2 linked regions of the Saccharomyces cerevisiae S288C genome follow. The protein of the gene in region 2 interacts with the protein of the main gene of each other region in a biochemical or structural test. Each region holds a gene or a part of one and is shown on either strand. Other genes may lie near its edges.

Region 1 (13,322 bases), on a different chromosome or scaffold from region 2:
ACCCGGATATCCCTTGTGGGATCTTGGATGCGGATGGTGAGTGTAAACAGGCCTCATAAAGCTGTCTCTGTGTGCGGAAGATGTCGTTTCATCGGCTTCGACCTCCTCCTTATCTTGCTTCATTGTTTCTTCGTAAGAGGGCGGATCTACGGGCAGCGGGGTCGCTGTCTCCTTGTATGCATGCTTATTTATATCACTCTTTCCGCTATCCATCATAATCTGTTTTTGTTTATGTGCTTTGAATACTCAACACATAAAATAATATCCAGTTAATTGTCGTCTGTCCATTGACGCTTTGCCTTTGTCCCTTTAGACTGTCTTTATTGTGAAATATGCACGGCTGAGAATTACGTATACAGTGACTATCGTATGGGGCGACAAAAGTTCCCAGCGAGAAACAAGATGAAGCAGACTGGGGCCTGCCTGTATGGAGGGAAGCATAAGTTAATATACCTCCAGATATTTGCAGATTAGGATACTGAACTGACGAAGACCTACGCTACACAACGAAGATAACACATGCTGGCACAAACATTCAAAAAACCACACAGAGCCGTTCTAGAACAGGTATCTGGGACCACGGTCTTCATCAGAAATAAGAGAACAAAGAGCAAGAGCTCACTGTCACCTTTGGCACAAAGGGTCGTCACGCAGTTGAGTGTGATGTCTGCAAGCAGAAAGCAGCCCAAGTTGCTGAAGCTGGCGCGTGAAGACCTGATTAAACATCAGACCATTGAGAAGTGTTGGTCAATTTATCAGCAGCAACAACGGGAGCGCAGAAATTTACAGTTGGAATTACAATATAAGAGCATTGAGAGATCTATGAACCTTCTACAAGAACTCAGCCCTCGTCTGTTTGAGGCTGCCAATGCTTCCGAGAAGGGCAAGCGATTCCCGATGGAAATGAAGGTGCCCACTGACTTCCCCCCAAATACGTTATGGCATTATAACTTCCGAAAATGATAGCGTGAGCGAACGCTTGACTGTCTCCTGCTGTAAATAACTGATGATCAATAGAATGCCACGTATATATGGACTTATATAATTATATGTACATAGACATATAAAGGGCATGTGGTAATTATGACATGAACTGTATCACTATTGACGTTTTTTTTACTGCTTTTTCCCATCCCTGCAAGCGAAAAAAAAAGCAAGCTGACTCTTGTATAAACTGCAAGGACTCATTGATTAAAAGTAGATTTACATTACAGACTAAAGGAAAAGGCAAACTATACCGGCTATACCACATTCGTTCAAAAATGCCCTCTACCACGCTACTGTTTCCGCAGAAACATATTAGGGCCATTCCAGGCAAGATATACGCGTTCTTCAGAGAGCTCGTCAGCGGAGTTATTATATCCAAGCCAGATCTAAGTCATCATTATTCTTGTGAAAATGCGACAAAGGAGGAAGGCAAAGATGCAGCAGATGAAGAAAAGACTACCACAAGTTTGTTTCCCGAATCAAATAATATAGACCGTTCTTTAAATGGTGGCTGCTCTGTGATCCCTTGCTCCATGGATGTCAGCGATTTGAACACGCCAATATCGATCACACTATCTCCTGAGAATCGTATCAAATCAGAAGTAAATGCCAAGTCACTGCTCGGATCAAGGCCAGAACAAGATACAGGCGCCCCTATCAAAATGTCTACTGGTGTCACAAGCTCTCCATTAAGTCCATCAGGCTCCACCCCAGAACATTCCACCAAGGTCTTGAACAACGGCGAAGAGGAGTTCATTTGTCACTACTGTGACGCTACTTTCAGGATTAGAGGATATCTAACGAGACATATTAAGAAGCACGCCATCGAAAAGGCGTATCACTGTCCATTTTTTAACAGTGCCACTCCTCCTGATCTTAGATGCCACAATTCGGGTGGTTTTAGCAGACGCGATACTTATAAAACTCATTTGAAGGCAAGGCACGTGCTGTACCCCAAAGGTGTTAAACCACAAGACCGTAACAAGTCGTCCGGCCATTGCGCTCAATGTGGTGAATACTTTTCCACCATTGAAAATTTCGTTGAGAATCACATTGAGTCTGGGGACTGTAAAGCTTTACCGCAGGGGTATACCAAGAAAAATGAAAAAAGATCTGGAAAATTAAGGAAGATCAAGACATCTAATGGTCATTCTAGATTCATATCCACTTCGCAAAGTGTTGTAGAACCTAAAGTACTTTTCAACAAGGATGCCGTAGAGGCTATGACCATAGTGGCTAATAACAGTTCGGGCAATGATATTATATCCAAGTACGGAAACAACAAATTAATGTTAAACTCGGAAAACTTTAAAGTCGACATACCCAAGAGAAAGAGAAAATATATCAAGAAAAAGCAGCAACAGGTATCTGGATCGACGGTAACCACACCAGAGGTAGCTACACAAAACAATCAAGAAGTGGCACCTGATGAAATCTCATCCGCCACAATTTTTTCACCTTTTGATACTCATCTACTCGAGCCCGTCCCTTCTAGTTCATCGGAATCTTCCGCTGAAGTTATGTTCCATGGCAAGCAAATGAAGAATTTTTTGATTGACATAAACAGCTTCACAAATCAACAGCAGCAGGCACAAGATAATCCTTCGTTCCTGCCACTCGATATTGAACAATCTTCATATGATTTGAGCGAAGACGCAATGTCATATCCCATCATATCCACACAAAGCAACCGTGATTGCACGCAGTATGATAACACAAAAATCTCACAAATCTTACAATCACAACTAAATCCAGAATATCTCAGCGAAAATCACATGAGAGAGACACAACAATATTTGAATTTTTACAATGACAACTTTGGGTCACAATTTTGATTAAATATAACACGGGATAAAAATAAGGGTATCATATTGGAAAGCCGATGGGTAAAAATTATTGAGTTAATAAATGGAGACAATATTAAAAATCAGGTAACAACAAATAAAAGGTTATAAATGTACTGCTGTATACTATATAAAAACTTTTAGCATGACTAATTAATTTTCATACTACTATGTTAAATAAACCAAGTGATTGCAACACCAATATTTTATTATTGATCTTCAGCGCATAGAGTCGATTCGTAGATATTATCACTTTTGACGTTTGTGATTTCTTTTTCATGATTGATTACCGATGATGCTATAACAAATAAAGGTCAAATTTTGAAAACAATGAAAAATAAGTAGTAAACAAATAAATGCACATTTATTGACACTAGTAGAGTGTAAGAGGAAAGTAATTTTTAGAACGCTTTATACACCTCTATCATTTATTTTTTTTTTGGTAAAAAAAAAACAGTAAGGTGTTAACCATATATCATATTCTGCCATGGCTTATGATGAAGATGATGGAGAGATAAATTTTAATGAACTTGTGGGGAACTTACTAAGCTCACATAACCAAGAGGGACAAGAGGAAGGAGAAGTGCAAGGAGGAGAACAGGAAGGAGATGATTTTGAAAAAATATATCCTACCAGTGAAAATATAGAACCAAAGCATCCAGATGACAGCCAGCATATGCATAATTCTCCTGACCAGAATATCGAAATACCACATTTTGTCGACGAAGAAGATGAGCTAGTATCTGTCGTTGCAAATGCGGTTCAAAATATAGACGATGAGCAAGCCAAACCGGAAAATCATCTGGAAAATGGATCAGAACATGTAACATCGGATACAGCGGATGATAATCACGAAAAAGAACAACAGCAAGAATGGGCTCATATCTTACAGCAGGAAATATTAAAATCAGACGGAGAGCCCTTGCGGGAGAATACAGAAAGGCGTGTAAGCACTAGTCAGCACCATCCCTCTCAGCGTACTGATGACGCTCTCGACCAAGATGATGAAAATTTGAGGATGGCTATCCTAGAGTCTCTACAAGAATTAAACACAAATGAGGAGGAAGAGAAAGAGCCGGAAAAACATGAGCATGCTGCCCCGAATGATAAGTTGAGCAGCAAAAAATCTTCAAAGAAAAAGAAAAAAGATAAATCCAAGAACAGAGAATCATCAAAGGATAAATCCTCAAAGAAGAGTAAATCTTCGAGCCATTCCAAAAAGCATGCCAAAGACCGTAATAAAGAAAAGCAAAGTAAACCTACTAATAATGAAAATACCCTTGATTTAAGTAATATACTAGAAAATCTGATTCATGAAAATGACAATGCTGCAATAGACACTGCCAAACAAACAGTTGATATTCAAGATAACTCCCATACTGATAATACAAACAACGAAGATGTGGAAGCGCAAGCTTTAGTGGAAGCGACACTAAAAGCATTTGAAAACGAGCTGCTAAGCTCTGCGCCAACCGAGGAGCCTTCACAAGAACAGTCGATTGGGCCTGTATCTTCTAGAAAAGCAGTTGAACCACCACGAAAACCGACTGCAGACGATATTCCATTGGCTATGTTACAGGCTTTTAAACCGAAAAAGAGGCCTCCTCAAGAGAAGAAAAAAACAAAAAGTAAGACATCCAAGGCTGCATCTACAGCAAATAAATCACCTGCATCTGAATCTACCTCCAAGAAAAAGAAAAAGAAGAAAACTGTAAAGGAAAGTAATAAATCTCAAGAAGCTTACGAAGATGATGAATTTTCCAGAATATTAGCCGATATGGTTAACCAAGTGGTTAACACTTCATTAAAAGAAACATCAACGCATACTGCCACACAGGATAATAAATTAGAAAGCGAAAGTGATTTTACTTCCCCTGTACAAAGTCAATATACTACTGAGGATGCAAGCACAGCTAATGATGACTCGCTTGACTTGAATCAAATCATGCAAAACGCAATGGCTATGGTTTTTCAAAATCAAAACGACGATGAATTTGATGAGAACATTGTTGAAGACTTTAATCGTGGTTTAGGCGATCTGAGTGTTTCCGATTTACTGCCGCATGATAACCTTTCTAGGATGGAAAAGAAATCGGTGCCTAAAAGTTCGAGCAAATCTGAAAAGAAAACAGCTATATCTAGGAGAGCTTCCAAAAAGGCATCTAGAGATGCCTCAAGTGTAGAATTGACTGAAGTACCTTCAAAACCGAAGAAACCTTCCAAGACAGAAGTATCTTTAGAAAAGAAGTTACGCAAAAAATACGTCTCTATTGCCAACGAGGCTGCATCTGTGGCTAGAAAGAAAAGATGGGCTAAAAACAAAGAACTAAAGGAGAAAGAGAAACTTGAACGCCAAACTGCCAGAGAGGAAAGGAGACATAAAAAAAAACTAGAGAAGCAGAGGTTGGCTGAAGAACAAGAGGAACTGAAAAAAATTGTTGAACGAGGTCCACCTTATCCCCCAGATTTAAGACTAACTAAAAGCGGTAAACCAAAAAAACCATACAGAAGATGGACTCCGGAAGAGCTACTGAAACGATCACAGGAAGCTGAAAAACCGAGGAAGGTGAAAAAGGAAAGAAAGAAAAAGGAAAAGAAAATGAAGGTACCTTCATCTGCTTTGAAGAAAATTCCTCTCTTCAACTTTGTAAAGGGTAATGTTCAGCCAAGTGCAAGACATCGTCTGAATGACATTGAAGGTTCGCTATCCACTATTGGATTACATAAATCGCCTGACGGTGTCCGCAGGATTCTTTCGAGACCAAAGAGTGAAGATCACGAATGGCCCCTATCAGATTCATCTGCATCTCAAAATTACGATGCACACCTAAAAACTGTAGTGCATAAAGAAAAAATTCCTTTCCATCCCCCATGGACTATACCGTCTCAACCACCATTTGCACTACCCGTAGCTAGAAGAAAGAAAATACCAAATATCAAAAAGTATAGAAAGAGAACCAATAATTCTTTTCGTGTCTCCAAAGAAGGTACGGCAAGTACTAGGAACAGAATTTTACCGGCCATATTACTACCGATAATAAATACATTAAAAGCTGCTGCAAAATCGCAAACAGCTGCTGGCGCCACACCTGAGGAGGCAAGGAAACGGCTGGCAACCATTATTCAACATGCCAAGTCTACAGTTATTAGGGCAGCTTTACAAGCAAGGAAAAACAGTATGCAAGCCGCTCATTCTAAGGGAACTACCACAGAACTGGCAACAACTGCGTCTCGAATGAAGAATCCGCTGAAAATGATTCCTATTTTCAATACATCTCGAGTGAAACAACAATTAGACAAACAATTACCGGCCAGAAGTGCAGGAACAGAAATCAGCAGCTCTGAATCCCCTGATAAAGCCACGCCCGATCCCCACTCTAATTCTACAATCGCTGGGCATACTTTAAAGGGCGTTACTACGCCAATTAAAATAGAAGACAGCGATGCGAATGTTCCTCCTGTTAGTATAGCGGTTTCAACTATAGAACCATCACAAGATAAACTAGAACTTACGAAGAGGGCAGAGAGCGTAGAACCTGTGGAAAATAATGTTGAAACAGCGAAAGAAACCCAAAGCGTACAAGAAATTAAGGAGAATGTCGGTACCAAGGCTTCTGAGGAAGTTACTCTAACTGAAGACAAGACAAATGGGGATCCAAAAAATGAAAAGAGGATATTAATTGAATCTCCTGTCGAAAAAACGGATAAAAAGAAGCCAGGTGAGAAAATTGCTACAGATTTGAATGAAGATGCGAGCCTGTCTGATAAGAAAGATGGAGATGAAAAGTCTACATTGCATTCTGATGCAGCCCAACTTACGGGTAATGAACCAGACAGTGTAAACACGACAACAGGAAAGCCCAAATTAATTGATGTTTCTCTCAAACCGTTAAATGAAGCAAAACCAAAAATTCCCATCATATTTCCCTTAAAAAGACCGCAAATTAAGCCTGAAGTTAGCGTTATTAATTTAGTTCAAAATTTGGTAAATACCAAAATACCCGAAATAAAGAATGAATCCGTTGATTTGGGAAGTAATATCACCGACATTCTTTCCTCTACTATCACTAATATTCTGCCCGAAATCACAGCCACTGATGTTAAAAACTACCAGTATGAAGATGAAAACGTAAAATACCTGAAAAAAACACCAAGACAGGTTTTGAATTTGGATGGACTAGTGCCTCCATCGGGTAGATGTATTACCAAAGCTAAACGTGTCCGCCGCATTAAAAAGCTTTCTGCTGACGCCACTACCGCACCGGAAGCCGATGGAAAGGCAAACAGCGAATCCATTACTTACACATTCGATATACCATCTCCAGAAGAGGTACAAAGTAAGCGTAGTGTAGTCCTAAAATTTGCCAAGGCTAGATTGACCGAGGCGGAGTTGAGTTGTCTAAAGAAGGAGATTAACAATGTGAGGAAACGGAGATGGAGAGAGATGAACTCCACCAAGAACTGGGAATATGACGTAAAGTCTAGATTAAAAAAGCGTGCGAACGCATTTTTTGGGGAAGGAGAATCAGAAACGAAGTCTAAATGGATCGAAGAAAGATTTCAAGAAAAGGTAAGTCAAGAAAAGTACAAGGATCGCCTTGAAACTACTGAGACGCAAGCAAACAACACGAAGATTGTGATTGACGACAAGGAGATTTTGAATATTCTTGCGGTAAACATGAATAACCTTAACAAAGCACGCTGTATTGAAAAAGATATTCAAGAGTCGTTCAGGGAGGAGAAGTTAGCCTCTTTACAACCAAAGAAGAAGAGAAAGAAAAGCATTTTACACTGAGGTGTTACTAGACATAATTTAGTTCATATGTCCATTTCTGCATAATCATATATACTTAAAGTAGCAAATGTATATAGTTTTTTCTTCCGATTTTCGAAACTAATATTAGTATTGGAAATCGGCCCCTGCCATTGTGCAATTTACATTATTCTATAATTAAGCAAACGTGATACGTGGATGGTAATAATAGTTACAGTTAAAGTAAGACCGCTTAACATCATTCCAATCTGGCAATTGCTCGTCAAGAGAATATCTGGTGTAATCGCATTTCATACCATATGTAGCAACATCGATCTCAACAATTTCTTTATATACATCGTAACACAACGATCTGTCAGCGCCTAATCCGTTGAAAAATGAGAAAACGCCTTCTGGTTTAATTAAACCTACCACGACATCGTATAAGTCCAATATGTCTTGGTAGTGCTCGCTAAATGTATCATAATAAATACCATCAAAGAAAACTTCACCTTTGTCTAATAAATTATTCAACGTATCTTGCCATCTTCCCTCTAAAATAACCACATTATCCTTTTCATACCAACCATCCATTTTCATCTTGGCCAAAACATCTGGATGAGCTTCGCAAATATAGTGACGATATGGTTTTCGAGCTTGGATGAATGTATCGATGATCCCCATTCCAAATCCAATGTTTAAGATCGTAGCAGAATTAGTGGCCTCTGGATCAGGAAATAAGGTTTCGGAAGCAAGTTCCATAATCTTGGTTTCCCAATCCATCATAACACCGTCCTTATTTTCCTTTGTGATAAGCGCATCGTCTTTGTACTCTAGTTCTGTTTTTAAGTACACTTGTTGATTTGCCGCGGTAGCATCGTCATCACTACCAACTGATTCTTCTTTTTGACCATCAACTGCTGTTTGAACGCTTTCCTCAGGCTCGATACCTATTAGTTCATCTGTATCCAAGAATTCGACGTCGCCACCATTGAGTTTTCTCAGTAATAATTCAGCAGACACACCAGCTTCCACGAGCCGTCTATAAAGAGGGCTCTCCCTACTTTGATTTCTCTCTAAAAACAAATCACCCACTGTTTTGTCCTCGTAGTCAATAAAATTCCATCCAGCCCCATACTCAAAAAGAATATTCATCATATCCATCACCACTTGCAGTTCCTCATCCTTGATATCCAAGGGTAGCGATCTTGCTAAAACGTGTAACGGCGTTGTGTTTGAGGTTTTATTGTCGTCAGTGCTCTCTCTGAATTCCTTATCCCCGTTCCTGTTCTTTTCCTCATGCTCGAAGGCTGCGACCTGCTCCAAAGTATATGTAGCCGGTATACCAGATTTTAAGAAATGCTGCAGTTTTGGTACATAGTAACTTTGAGAAATGGGCCTCTCTGGGAAAGTAAGCAAAGCATGTAATTCTGACATACTTGAATATATTAAAAGTCCTTGGTGTAAACACCTAGCCGTTGCAACTGCTGGGTATTGTCAATGTCATTTTGCTTTACGCTTAGCTTAAAATGAGATGAGATGAGCTTTGAAAAATTTTAGAAAAAGAAAGGTGCCATCGATTCTCGCCGAAAAAGGAAAAGAATCGTTATAATCCTTCGAATCCTATATACACTAAACAAATATCTGCATTGGTCAACCCCAAGCACACGTACTGATGACTAGAGATGATACTGAAAGTGTTAACAATATAACTTCCTTACTCGCAGCTAATGTCACATATTGAGGTAACAATGGATCGAAACAATTTTCATGCTTACCCGCGCGGTGATTTCTTGGTAGCGAAGGGGTTTTCATGAAGGCAGCAGAAGAGAGGTACATTGATTTGAAAGTGTGAGGAAACAGAATAATAGTGCCTAAAGCCTAACCCAAGCAAGTAAGCAGTTCTTCCACGTCTTATCTATTCAGAGGCTGAAACAATTGAGTGAAAATTTAAAGAGTAGGTGTGGGACATTGGTATGACATATGACGTCTAGGAAAAGGTCTCCGCACGATTTCATATTTAAAGAGGAACTGGGCCATGGCTCTTACTCTACTGTGTTTAAAGCTCTAGATAAAAAAAGCCCGAATAAAATTTATGCCATTAAAGTTTGTTCGAAGAAACACATAATCAAAGAAGCTAAGGTAAAATATGTCACCATTGAAAAGAATACCATGAATTTGTTGGCACAAAAGCATCACGCGGGTATAATCAAACTATACTATACTTTTCACGATGAGGAAAATCTTTATTTTGTTTTGGATTTTGCCCCAGGTGGAGAACTACTTTCCTTATTGCACAAAATGGGTACTTTCAATGATATATGGACGCGTCATTTCACTGCACAGTTAATTGATGCATTAGAATTTATCCATTCACATGGCATCATTCATAGAGACTTAAAACCGGAAAACGTCCTTTTAGACAGGGATGGTAGACTTATGATTACTGATTTTGGGGCCGCTGCCACCATAGACCCTAGTTTAAGCGGAGATTCGGCCAAGTTTAACTCTGACAGCAACGGCTCAAAAGACAACCAAAATTGCGCTTCCTTTGTTGGTACTGCCGAATATGTCTCTCCAGAGCTGCTTTTATACAACCAATGCGGTTATGGCTCAGATATATGGGCACTAGGTTGCATGATATATCAGTTTGTCCAAGGACAACCGCCGTTTAGAGGGGAGAATGAGCTGAAGACATTTGAAAAAATCGTAGCATTAGATTATCCATGGGGACCCAATAACCGCATCAATAATAGCACATCACCAATAAATCCCCTTGTAATAAACTTAGTACAAAAAATATTGGTGATAGAGGTCAATGAGAGAATCTCTCTCGAACAGATAAAAAGACACCCATATTTTTCAAAAGTAGATTGGAATGATAAAATCAAAATATGGAGAGGAATCTGGCAATCACAAGGACAATCGCTGCAACAAACTACTTTGGGACTCCCAAATATACCGCAGAATATACTACCCACCAGACAATTACATGTAATTGACACTCCAGCACGAAGTATACAAATCACAAAACAAAAACGTAAGAAACCAACGAAAATTTCCAACACTACTAGTAGCATAGTAGTATGGAGAAAAAGGCTTGGTATATCAACAGGTAAGGATGATTTAGGCACCGTACCGTCCACTACGCCTGCAGTGACCGCCCCTAATGATACCAATGTATTAACAAATACGGCGGCACATTCTACTGCAAATATTGCCTTACCGCCTAATTCACAATCCAATCAAGTCAAGCGAGCACAACTAGTTGCACCAAATAGAATACCTCCCAAAGTACCGGTAATTAATGACAACGTGAGAAATAAGTCAATTCCGCGCACAAAGCCTAATGTGCCACCTTTGCAAACATCATCAATACCACAAAAGTTGTCAACATCGTCAGCATCGTCAGCTCTATCGGCGCCGTCAACAGAGATAAGGAACCAGGACTTAACACACACTTTAGATGGAAGAAACTCAATTGATATTCATGTTTTAAAACAAGACTACGTCTTCATTTATGGCATTCCATATGAACACGAAGGGCCTGCTATGTCTTTGAACAGCTACAATAAGATCGATAATGATTTAATTACGTCACTAGTTGCGCAGCATAAAGAAGAATTAAAAAACTCAGAGTCGTTTTTACAGGTATTGACTTTGAAGAAGAGCGGAATGTTAAGTTACAAAAACACAGTTATGGAGGGAAATGATGATCAAGAAAACAAAGAACACCAGATGGCTAATATAGAAGATACAGACTTGTCCATGTACGATTTTGAATTCAATGAGTTGACAAGGAAGGGTTTTTTAATCCTGGAAAAATATAAGAATAGAATATGGTTTATCTCGCTACCTTCATATTCAACGTTATCCAAAATACCATTCAATGCCGTGAAGTCTTCGACAATAAATAACAATGAAAATTGGGTCGATTGCTTTTTCAGAGCAAGACAACTACTAGAAGAAAAGCAAATTCTTGATAAAATCAGTAACGTTTCCTTTGATAGTAAGGCATCGAGTGAACCATCATCACCTCCGCCTATTTCAAGAAAAGAGCGGCCTCTGAGTATAGGAAATAATGTAACAACACTCAGCTATACTGCAAAAAATGGAAGCCAGAACAATGCACCACAAAACGATAATGTTGGAGAAGAAAAACCTTTTCGCATACCTAGTAGTACCAAGGATAGGCCCGGTGCAAATTCCACTCCTTCTTCAAGACATCCTAGGGTTTTGTCAAGCAATAACGCTGGTGAAACTCCGAAAAAAATGAATGGAAGATTACCAAATAGTGCACCTTCTACCAATACATATACCAACGGTTCGGTCCCAGCTTTTAATCATAGGCCTTCTACTAATGTAGGGAACAATAAGCATAATATTTTAACTTCGAAGAAGCAGGGATCATCCGTATTTTCTCCTTCATCTTCTACGACCAAGCCTCAAATCAAAACAACAGGATATCGACAGCCAACACCTTCACCTCCACTTCCGCAAATGGAATTCCCAACTACGAGAGAAAAGTATTCTGCTCCTTCTAACATGGTGATCAGTAGCAGCAGATACGAGGTCTTACATACCCTTAATAACAGCCAAACAAACTTTGATAGGGAAATTGCTAGTAGGGGTGCCTCAGCAGCATTTAGAAGTTTACAGAAGAGTAAGAAAAAAAAATAACACGCTTTAATAATATTTGTGGTTCCTCTACTTCGAAACAAAAAAATATGCACGAGTTGTTGACGATCCAGAAAAACCAACATATAAATCATATCCAAACCCTTGTAGCATTAATATCCGTATCACTTATGTATTCAGAATGCATGTATTTTATATATGCCCAGTATATCTTCGATTGAAGCTCTTCGGCATTAGTGCATTGTATTTTTCAAGCAATGAATGCCAAAACTAATAAAACTATCAAGACGACAATAAGAAGTCCTATACAACAATCGTCGTATTTTTCTTTATTTTTTTCGTAGACCCATTCCAATTGCCTACGACCTCTAGCCAGCTTATTTACAACACCGTCCATACCCTCGTCCATATTATCCAACAATTGTCCCTGGTTCTCTAATTCATCCCCCATTGTTTGAGCTTGAATATGCAAATTTTGCATTGTCTTGTGAATACCATCTAAATGAACATCTTGTTCTCTTAACATTTGTTCCTGAAACGGATTGGACATACCACCATCATTGTTCTCAGCCATGCTGGTGTTAAGTGTTGAATTTTCCACCGTCTCTTCTAGAGGAATAGTTGTTTGAGTAGATTCCTGTATTCTTCGATCAAAACGCAACTTCAGAGCATCAAGTTGCTGTTTTATATTTTTAACTTGTGCTTCCCTACCACTCACGTCTTCGTTTTCATCCCTTTTCATTACGATTATGCTTCTGTCCAAATCAACTATTGTTTCCTCAACATCCTTTAAAATATCTTGTATTTCCTCCTCTTGATCGTCATCACCAGCAGTATTGTGACGAGTTATGTAATTGTTTATGCGGTTCAATTGCTCCTTGGTGTCCTTAACAACTTGTTGAAACGGATCTTCACTGTTGTTCATTTGTTAAAGAAAGGATCTTAGCAATACAATTTTACAGTTAAACGTCTTTCACGTTTACTTCAGTTACAGGGAAAACGTAGAAATTAAAATGTTCACAAACCTTGTCAGAAAGACAGCAAATATAATTTTAGTATATGTTCTGTGTTGTGTGCTTCGAATTGTCCTATCTTCTGAT
Region 2 (11,238 bases):
TACCATGGGTATTGGCAGCAGCTACATTCAAGTATTGGGCTCCACAGACATCACAGAATTTGGTCAATGCCACTGAAAATGATTTACTGCCAGCTGATTTCGTCAAGTCATATCACAATACTTGGAAACGAATTTATGAGGAAGGATATGTTGCCAAGAAATGTGATTTAAAACGTCAAATCGATCAGACATTACAAAAAAATATAAGGTATGCAAGGGAACAGCTTTATGAAAAGTTGGAGCAAGCATGATATCAAGCGGATATCTTTTTTTGTTCATTATCATGTCCATAGTAAGTATGTCCATATATAAATCGGATAATTAATATTCTATAAAATTACCCATTAAATAAATTTCATTTATTTTGAATTTCATTTCGTGTGATCTTTAGAAGTTGGTTCGCGAATGGGCCGTGCATCCTGAAACATTTCAAACTTTAGGTAAATGGTCATAAAGCTCAGTGCTTTTTCTTTATCTTTTGCATTTTTTTTTTCTTGCCTCTACTCCAAAGCTGTCAGTAACCAACTTGGTGCTTTATTTTTGTCTATTTTTACTAAATTAGTGTCGAAAGCTTCTATAAGCAACTCTACAAGAATTCTACCACCTCTGCTACCAGTAAAGCGTCTATATTCTTCGGATACACTGGCTAAGTTCCAACCCATTATTCTTCTGAGACATCCAATGACTGTCCCAGTCCTATGTCTTCCCATACCACAGCACACTAGCAAGGGATAATTCTCTTGAGTGACGATCGTTTGTAGTACATTAATTATAGAATGTTCAGTGAGACCGTCCCATGGATTATCGTCCTCACCGGCATCCGGGTTGATGGCTGCGAATTGTAAGTTTATTCTATGAGTATCACAAAACTCTAGGAGGGTATCTTGAGGTTCTTCGTTAGACAGCCATATAATTGTTTTCAGTTTTAGGTTTAGTAAAAAGGGGAAATTCACAGGTGAAGGCTGACCAGATCTATAGAGGTATCTTTCAACGGGACAGAAATTCAAAGGTGGAACGATACGTTCTTGTGGGGCATGTGATACCAAGACCTTTTCGCGACCAGATTCTGTTTCTTCATTGATATATATATGATCATCATCGTCGTCTTCTTCCTCGTCTTCGTCTTCTACTTCTTCTTCAGGTACGGATACGTTCTCTTCTGTGAGGCGGGACTCATCCTCTGGAACGTCCTCATATTCACCAACTTTAGATGTCATTCTAAGGGGAAAGAGAAGCTTGTTATTCCAGGTGGAACACCTCTTTCTTGTGAAAATGGATGTGATTGATGACTCTCTGCAATGTCCAATTTTATGTTATAGCGATGTTGTTTGTTTTTTCCTTTACCCGGCAACCATATGATATTGCCCAAAGTTTCCAATGTTAACAAGAATGAAACGGAAATAGCAAATGGCAATAAGCAATATAAAAACAGTCACTTTTTTATTTACTTTTGTATATATTTATAAATGTGTGTACTCGTTTCAACTTTATAGAGTTCTTTTCGTCTTAGCGTTTCTACAACTATTTCCTTTTTATTAACTTATAATACAACAGCCACCCGATCCGCTCTTGGAGGCTTCACTGGTGTTACCGCCGGGTGCAGCTTGCTGCTTCCTAGCCTGTTTAGCATTTGAAACTTGACCGGCCTTACTATTATTATTTACACGATTATTAACCGTATTAGCGCTTTGAGCGTTGGCCTGACCAGCTTGGCCCGTGGAATTGTCTATATTGGTGCGATCAGTTTGTGTCTTACCATTTGTCGCCTGGTTGCCTGCCAACCCTGTCTTACTCTCTATGCTTGCATTCCTGGCATTCACGACAGTTGTGCTACTGTTCACATTTTTACCGTTGGCAGCATTGCTCATCTTCCTGTGGCCACCGCTATTTCTAGGCACAGAGTTGGCACCGCTCCCTTTTGTATCTTGAGAAGTTTGCTTGGAGTTGTCATTTTCCGTCAAAGTCTTGTTGTACTTGCCGCCTTCGTCTCTAACTAAACGTGCTAGAGTGTAAAACGCCTCTTCCACGTTGATTGCTTGCTTAGCAGATGTCTCCAAGAAAGGAGCGTTCATTTGCTTTGCCATGTTCAACCCGTCCTGGTAAGAGACCTGTTTTTCGTTTTCTAAATCAGATTTGTTACCAACAACCACAATTGGAACATAGTCGGTATCTTTGACTCTCAATATCTGTTGATAGTAAGTCATAAGCTCATCAAGAGACGACTTGGACGTTATAGAGTAAACCAATAGGAATCCTTCGCCGTTGCGCATGTATTGTTCCCTCATAGCAGAGTATTCTTCCTGCCCTGCAGTATCCAAAATGTCCAATATAGACACTTCATCATCAATCACCACTTGCTTCCTGTATGAATCCTCAATTGTGGGATCGTATTCATCTACAAAGTGCGATTGGGTCAATTGTATGGTCAAAGCAGATTTACCAACACCACCACCACCAACGACGACTAGCTTGTACTCTCTTATGTTCGACTTGTTCAAAGGCATTTTTTTTTCTGTATATCTCCTTTCAATTCGAAAACGGTTAACTTGGTTTTTTTATCCGTAATTCTCTCGTATCTTTCTGCTCAAGTAATTTTCTCCTAGTTGATTAATATAGTGCAGAAGAGTCAGATAAAGAGTGGATGAATAAAATGGAAAAAAAACAAAAGCCGGATTGCGTTACGCTTGAAATGAGCGATTCTAGGCGATAAGAGAAGACAACGGCTAAAACTTAAGATGTTGGGGTACTATAAATGTTTACCCAGATTTTCGGTAGAAATGTTTGCTGATGTGAACCTTGTTTCCCGTTTTCCCAGATCCCCTTATTCCAGCTTTGTTTCGTCTTTGCTGTCATGTTCCGTTTAATTTCTGAAGGCCTGCCTAGCTTCACCGTCCTAAATGTCACGCTCCAGGCAGAGACATGGCGCAGGGGCGAGGCCAGGGGCAAAGGGGTCAGGCAGGAACCTCCAAGGGGGGCGAGGTGAATGAAAAGGTCCTTCTGAATAAAAAGCCTAAGCGATTAGCCACACCACCCACTGTACGGCGATTAGACTGAGCTGCTGGCGCTGCTACGCCGTGACAAGTCATTTCATCATTTATTACGTTTTATCGTGCCGTCATCACCATCGATTTGAATATTTTATCTAGACCGGTAGGGCCCAAGTATCTTGCAGATCCATTGATACGGCCACGCCCGTTAAAACGCTAAGATATATATATATGTAGCTAAGATATATATATATGTATATATTCGGTATTTAGTAGATATTTCCTTAAGGCGATATTCGCCCGAGAGCTATTTCACAGTTTTTTTTTGCAGTCGTCGCAATACCACTTGCCCTTAGGTAGAGTTTCGAGTCCAATACATGGCAAATGGAACCATTCTAGCTCACAGTCTGCGCCATCACACCCCACCATTTCCCCGTATGCCACTTGGTTACAGTAGCAGTAGAGCGGTTCGCCGTAGTCGTTGGTTTTTGGTCTTGATATCCTGCTGTTGTTGCTGTTTCCGACGCTGCTAACTCCCCTGGACGCTGTAGATGTACCTATCCTGCCATTATTGACGGCAGTTGCCGTGCTGATAGTGCTTGGTGAAACGGCTGTGGTGGCAACTCTCCTCTTGCGTTTTTTGGTCTCTGGATCGGCGTTGTTGGTATTGGCAGCGTTGGCTCTTTTTCTTGAGTTTGTGTTGTTACCAGTGTGGTCTTGGCTCTCGTGCCTGCTGCCTCCGTAGTTTGCGTCGTTCTTTGAGTCGTCTTGTTGGTGTGTGCTGGCGGAGTAATGTTCGCCCTGCCTCCTGTTGGCAGCCATGGCTTCTCTTCTTGATTCGCTCTTCAGTGCCTGCGACGATTTGCTGTTTGATTTGCTCTCTATTTTTTCCATTAGTTCATGATGGAGGTGCATTGCTGGATGGTTGTCCACACCCAGTCTTAAACCTCTAGGAATTTCTGTGTTCTTGATTGCGACTTCATACGCCAATTCTAACCGGGACGTCAATCTGTCTAGATTATCCAGCATAATGGATGAGACATGCATTTTCTCCTCCAGCGATGGCATCAGTTCTTCATAAATCTTGTTGATATTATTGAGCAGTCTTACTTGTGTTTGGTGATCTTTATTGAAGTCTTTCTTCAAGAACTTATCTATCCTCTCGTTCAAATTCGGCATAGAATGCACACATTTTGCATCTATTTCGTGTAGTAATGTTAAATATCTGGAGGTGGCCAGTGGGAATTCCTCCAGCACGTCAGTTATGTCGTTTAATCCAGGGAATAGGTTCGCTGGTGAACTCATTTGTACGTATTTCAGACTATGAACGTGGTTGCTGTTTGTGATACTGCAAGACTACAAACTTTTCTCCTTCCGGGTTCGTCCTGTTGTAAACGCCTAACTCTTTTCCTTAGGCTCCTTTTTCGTTTTTTCCCTAGCTCTTTCTTTCTTCTTCATGTGCATGCACTCTTTCCTACATATTTTTTTTTCAAGGGCATTTTTAACTTTCTTCGGAAATCGTCTAAGAATTGTAAACTATAATTGCAAATACGCGATTAGCTCTATCTAGAATACCGAAAAAAAGGTTTGCCACTCACAATTGGACGTGCCTCAATTATTTCAAGTATACGTCATTTGGGCTTTTGACTTGTAAAATATACTCAAATGAAATTCTGATTATACAAAGTTGAAACACGTAACACGCCATGTCAAGGTACGCGTAGAGGTAAGCAGATAATGCATGGACAATGTGCTGGGCGAAGAGGCGGATCTAATTACACATACTTGGGATCATCTAAGATTTCAGATGGTTATGTTAATGCTCACTTGTTCCACGCCTTTTTCCTTTCCTTCAGATAAGTAATCCGCATATCAATGTGAAAGAACTAACGGTTGTTGATGGACGTATCGTTGTCTAGCGATAAATAATGCTTTTTCTTCAACAAATAAGTGGTTGTTTGGCCGAGCGGTCTAAGGCGCCTGATTCAAGAAATATCTTGACCGCAGTTAACTGTGGGAATACTCAGGTATCGTAAGATGCAAGAGTTCGAATCTCTTAGCAACCATTATTTTTTTTCCTTTTTATCTGATTGCAGCGAGAACTTGGGAAATCAACCCAATATGTATTCCAAAATGTCAAAACACCAATTAAAGCATCTCTATATTGACAGATACAAAATATATTTAAGTATACATTCATAATTATTTTACTCGAATTAAAAAAGCCCACTTTTTGGAAACCTCCTTTTGTATTCTCATAACTATGTTTCTTTTTTTATTATTTTTTCTTAATATTATTTTCTTTAAGTATGACAAATGATGAGAATGATAGTTATCTCACTATTTAGTTGGTCTGGCTTGGAATTTCAAAAACAATTTGTTTGCCAGTCAACTTGTTGTAGACAGCTTGGAAAGATTCCAACTTGTAGTCGATTTGTTGAACATCCTTGGAGTCTAACAAAACCTTTTGGATCTTGTTACCACCAACCAAATATCTAACTCTTTTACCGACAATTTCAGTTGGGAAAACCATGTCTTCCAAAACCTTGTCGTGAACAGCAGTCAAAGTTCTGGATCTTGGTCTCTTTTGGACTTGTCTAGATGTTCTAGATGGTTTTGGCAAGATTCTTCTTTCAGCCAAGAAAATAACATGACGGTCAGGGAATTTCTTTTCCAATTCACGGGTCAATTTGGTTTGGACCTTATGGTATGCAGACAAAGCTGGAACTGGGACAAAAAGGACTAGTGCTTTCTTACCACCGGTGACATCAATCTAAACAATAAGAATCAAGCAGCGTTGAAATAAAGTTAGTAACTGAATTGGTTCATTCATAACAAAAAAGGGTTTGTGATTCTTCTCCTTGGGGTAAGGTCTTTTTCGCGTGCTTCTATTTTATTCATCGATATTGGTACTGACCAAGGAGGCCTTTATAGTTCAAAGGCTCATCGCAACGTTCATGGTATTGACAGCTCTCGGAATTACTATTTTTCTCGAACACATGAAAATTTCATACAGATACTGCTCAAAATCACTCTTTTTTGAAAAAATTACTGCAAAGAACCCCTTTAGAAGAAATCACAATGTTGCTGCTTCCAAATTATATAACTTTTAACATACTTCTCTGATAGATTTGATTTGCAATGGTCTCAAGTCAGCCTTTAGTTCTGGAGAGGAGCTTTCTAGATCGATGAAGGTCTTGGCGACTTGTAATTCCAACTCACTTGGAGCTTGGGATAAGATCTTGGATTGGACAGAGGACATTGGTCAGTTATGTGTCTAGTCTTTAGTGTGTTGGTTTCTCTTCTGTTTGTATATACAAAGTCAAATAACACATATTTTAACCATAATCAATAGCATTTGGTATTTCCCCCTCCGCGTATTATGAACGCCTAGTGAGCCCATTCTTCCCTAAAGCCAGGCTGGAAACCCAAACTGTGTGGAACGTGACTGAATTGCATTTGGTGAGTTACCAAGCAAAGGCTCGCAGGCTTGAACCACATTTTACCAGGGCGCTCGCTTTTTCCGAAATATTGAAATTAAGCAAAACAATAATGTACGGATTTAAAGAGGTACGGATGGAGACCGTAGAAAATTGACTTTTTTTTTTTTTTTGTTATTTTCTGTGCCTTTCGTAACTACTACTATGCAGAATGACAGGTAGTTGTTGTTTCGAATTGCTACTTTCACGCATTCAACTTGATCAACATTTCTCTCTGATGAAAGGTTGTGGAAAGTTTGGTCGTGTCTATAAGTAGGTGTTTTTTATTAGTTCTATATAAAAATGGAGAATGTTAATTTTAACCCACCCTAAAACAGTGATTAGGAGTGGTAATAATTTTTTGTTTAATGGATTAAAACTAAAGGTTCATCTGTACTTTCAGAAAGTAAGACACTAAAAATGGCAAGCTAACAACCATTAGCGGGTATTGCAGCATTAAGAAAAATGAAACACACTCCATTTGGATTGGCGCAGTTGTTTCTGGCGGCGTAAAACTGGCGGTGAAATATATAAGGGTAGTCATCGTTGGCAAGTTCCAGCTGATTGCTATAACAAATAGTAGCATTCTATCATCTTGCCAATTAACCCATCCAGCTTTCACTAACCGATCACACCATAGGACACCAAAAATTGGCATGACACATTGTCTCAAAATGACGAGTGTCACAGCGGCTTTCCAAAATCCAGGATAAAGGTTGCCAATCTTTAATCTTCCTAAAGTTGCTCCTAATAATATCAACCCAAATGGAACACATGCGGCACCGACATAACCTGTAAAATCCATGAAAAAGCTTAATGGTGGTGCATTGTCAGGAGCTTGGCTTATGTGAGGAGTATTAGCGGTAGTCACGAACAAAGCCTTGACCCATGGGATAAATGCAACAGTTAGGGCGATGATCACGGCCATAGAGCACGGTCTCAAACAATTCTTTAGGAAAAACACAAGTAATGGAGTTAATGAAAATTTTCTCATCCACTGTGGTAATGATTCGCCGGATGTTTCAATATCCTTTTTACTTACAGTGGCATCTGATGTTAAGATCCTGGTTAGGTTAGCAGTTTTTATAGTCTGTAAAGTGGAATTTGAGCTAATTGAATGCACATCATTCATATCAGCGCCGCGTAAACTGGAATTCCTCCTTTGATGACCATACTGGTCAACGTTGGAGTACTCTCTGATAAGATGGTGTATATTTTGAGAAGGTAATGCACGCATATCAATGGAGCGGATAGGTTCCAATGCCGCCATAGACATATTTTTTGGGCATTTTTCATCTAAACAGTTCTCTTCTAGGAGTGTGGTAGTATTGTAAGCTCTCGGCTGGCTCGCGGTTCTACGTGCTCTCATAGTATCTATGCTACTCTCATAACTCTCTGACGTATTATAAGAATGTATTGTTGAAGCAGATGATTGGCTATCTAATGGATTTGAACCACGAGTTGCCTGTGACTCTTCGCTTTGAGTGCACGCAATAGTATTTCTTGCCTTCACCTGAACTGGTTTTGTAATCTTTGAATTCGAAGAAGTGTCTGGTAGTGACAGGGGAGCTATACTATTTGTTGATCTCCTTGAAATTGGTGGTACGTCTGCGTTTTCACCCTTTGTACCTATAGCTTCAGTGAGACTATCGCGAGCGGTGTACTTATTGTTGAAAAGCTGTTGTTCGTTTGAGAAGAAACGCTCGCTAGTATCTGTATTAGTTGTGTTTGCACTTACTGCGGGCTGTGTCTTTGTCGTTTCTGAAACCCTAACGGCGCTTTCATCGTCGTTGTACTCGAAATCGCTTTCAATCAGTCGAAACCCCCCCAAATTGAAAATGCAAATTAGAAACATTGTCAGAAATATAATGACGTTAGCCACACCTTTGTTACCTTCTTCTTCCGAAAATACAAGCCCTTGGTCCATAGATTGTAAATATGCAATTGGTAAATCACTTATATTTGGAAACATACCACCGGCAAGAATACCACCGTACCATTGTTTAGGAACAGGCAGGAATAGCCTAACAACGTATGCAAAAAAGAACCCAGAACCAAATATTAGGAGGGCAGACAGACAGATAATTCCCACAGATTTGATGTCTTTATCTTCAATATTAGCGACAATCTTGTTGAATGACAGAGAGGGTAGTAAAACTGTTAGCACGATATCAGAAATAATTCTTGTTGCTTCAACCGTAAGAATTCCCATTTTAGCCATCAGAAAGCCGACTCCTATAATCAAATAAATCTTGATTATCGGCTTAACTGACACCCATATCGCTTGACCCAGAGTAATGTGCACCATCTGATGAAAATTTGAGGTTTCAATCCCTTTCTCTGTTTGATTCTATAACTTCTCCAAAAAAATTGCGCTGACGCTAATTAGTCACTGTTTATATCTTTTTTAGCGATGATTTGTAACAATATGCCATAAAAGCGTTCTCTAACTGCGGAAGTGATGAGAATTGAATAGTTTTATTCAGAAGGCAATATATCCTAATATGGCACAAAAAGGCAACTTGTATGCACAAAATGAGCATAAGAGTTCAGGCAGAACGTTGTGCTCTTGATCCAAAGGTTAAAAGTCATCGAGTAGGAAGATATTGTAACCTTCGCGCAAACCGCAGCCGCAGCGGGTCACGTGGTCGCGCAAATGATGATGAGGGCGCGGTCTAACTTTCCAAACGAGGTTACCAACAATTCTCGGACAGATAAAGCATTAGAATAGGGTGGCAACGCCTTTACGGTTAGCTTGTTCATTGTGATTGGTTTGTGTATCTTTTCTTGGCTTTTTATGCCCACGAGACATAAAGTATACGAAGCTGTTATACTATTCGTGATCCAGGGCAAAAATTTAGCATCATTAAGGCATATATATCGCAAATAGTGGGTTGCACAAGGCTTTCAATAAACAGTGTCATATGTTTCTCTAGCTCTGTCGGTTTGTTGGCTATAAAGAGTTTGTCTAGTAATCGCCGTCTTTTCTTGGGACCATTAACACAGACAAGGACATTGAAACTTGGCTATAAGTTCCGTCAAAGGGGGAAAAAATTGCTTTGGAGAAGGAATAAAAAGATGAATAGTCAAGGTTACGATGAAAGCTCTTCCTCTACTGCTGCTACTAGCGGTCCTACTTCTGGAGACCCACGAATGGGTAAGAAACAACGGTTTATGAATCTCATAAGAACCACAAAGGATGTTTATATTCCTAACCTGACGTCATCCATTTCTCAAAAGACAATGGATGGCATCAGGAGCACTACGAATTCCTTCGAAGGTTATAATGACTTGCCTATGGAATTGCCACATAATACCACGATAACATATTTTCCAACGTATACCACAACTAATTTGGTTGACCCTGACGGTTTGAGTGCGCCTCGGAAAGATTTTGAAACTACTGTCAGATGTGCTGTTTCTTATCCAGGAAATCCTACAAGCAGGAGAAATAGGTGGTTGCTTTCTCTTTGTAAACAATATCTTAGAACTGGAACGGCGGAGGCCGATGTTGCACCTGTTGTTCCCCCTCATCTCGAAGAGGATTCTGGAGATTTAAACGACTCCCAATCAAGTATAGAAAGTTCTTTGTCTTCAAAGAGCGAAAATAGGTATTCACATATGGGCATCCAAGAGGAAGATGTTCTGAATGAGAGAATTCAAGGATTCCTGTCCAAAAAAGTTCCTAATACTCCAGTGGTGGTTGACCTATTGCCCAAAGATAAGCTCAGAGGGGATACGGCTTCCTTTTTTGGTACCACGGACTCTTATGGTAATTTACTAATCAAGGCAGAAACAGATTTTTTACCGTCCAAGATTAATATTACATTAGATACCCCTATAGAAGGCCATGCAGATCCCATATCTGAAACATTTCCGGCCAATTATGTCTCGCCCTACGGTATTGGTTTAATCAGTGATATTGACGACACCATCAAGCATACTGGCGTTACGGGTGACAGGAGATCGATGTTTCGTAATGTTTTCATCCATGATGTTCAATCGTGGGTAATAGATGGTGTTCCTCTTTGGTACAAAACTTTACATGATGTCGCAGACGTTGATTTCTTTTATGTTTCTAATTCACCCATCCAAACTTTTACTCTTTTGAAACAATATATTTGCGCCAATTTTCCTCCGGGTCCAATTTTTTTGAAACAATACTCTGGTAATTTCTTTTCCACTATCATGACTTCAAGTGCGAATAGAAAAATTCAGCCGATTGCAAATATCTTAAAGGATTTTCCCAAAAAAAAATTTATTTTGGTCGGTGATTCTGGTGAACATGACTTAGAAGCGTATACCACTACGGCTTTACAATTTCCGAACCAGATTCTGGCTATTTATATAAGATGTTGCTCTAATTCCATGAGTGATGTCCCATCGCATGATGAAGAAGTTATGAATGAAGTGAACAATATCATCGAATTACAACAACGGCCCATGCAAATGACCAAGTCTACCGTACGTACCAGGAGAAGACCACCACCACCTCCCATTCCTTCCACTCAAAAGCCATCGTTGACAGAAGAGCAAACCGAAAGTATAAGAATGTCACGCCGTAATAAAGATGAGAACAATGCTAAAAGAGTTGCCCCACCACCGTTGCCGAACAGACAGTTACCTAACTTAGACGCTAATACTTACTATGTACCATCCTCACAAAATGACTATGGCATGTATGGTGCTTTCATGGATAAAAAAGCAGATGAATGGAAGAGAAGAGTAATGGACTCAATTCAAAAATTGAGCAATCAAGACACCACATTGAT

Evidence for each region.
Region 1: the proteins of OCA1 (region 2) and PKH3 form a complex in vitro, tested with the Saccharomyces cerevisiae proteins (one large-scale study listed by BioGRID).

Annotation. Positions count from the first base shown.
Region 1 is NC_001136.10:1,385,554-1,398,875, forward strand, and holds PKH3 (protein kinase PKH3), read left to right. Parts: upstream 1-9,567; coding exon 9,568-12,264; downstream 12,265-13,322. Other genes in the region: CMI8 (Cmi8p), read right to left, coding at 1-213; mitochondrial 54S ribosomal protein mL40 MRPL28, read left to right, coding at 520-963; STP1 (Stp1p), read left to right, coding at 1,263-2,822; SPP41 (Spp41p), read left to right, coding at 3,319-7,626; RMT2 (protein-arginine N5-methyltransferase), read right to left, coding at 7,783-9,021; TLG1 (Tlg1p), read right to left, coding at 12,473-13,147. UniProt on the Saccharomyces cerevisiae protein: Serine/threonine-protein kinase which may phosphorylate the same targets substrates as PKH1 and PKH2, 2 upstream activators of PKC1.
Region 2 is NC_001146.8:438,067-449,304, forward strand, and holds OCA1 (putative tyrosine protein phosphatase OCA1), read right to left. Parts: upstream 1,218-11,238; coding exon 501-1,217; downstream 1-500. Other genes in the region: MIC27 (Mic27p), read left to right, coding at 1-251; Ras family GTPase RAS2, read right to left, coding at 1,536-2,504; PLS1 (Pls1p), read right to left, coding at 2,731-2,853; PHO23 (Pho23p), read right to left, coding at 3,300-4,292; 40S ribosomal protein eS7 RPS7B, read right to left, coding at 5,332-5,760, 6,106-6,249; YNL095C (uncharacterized protein), read right to left, coding at 6,846-8,774; phosphatidate phosphatase APP1, read left to right, coding at 9,545-11,238.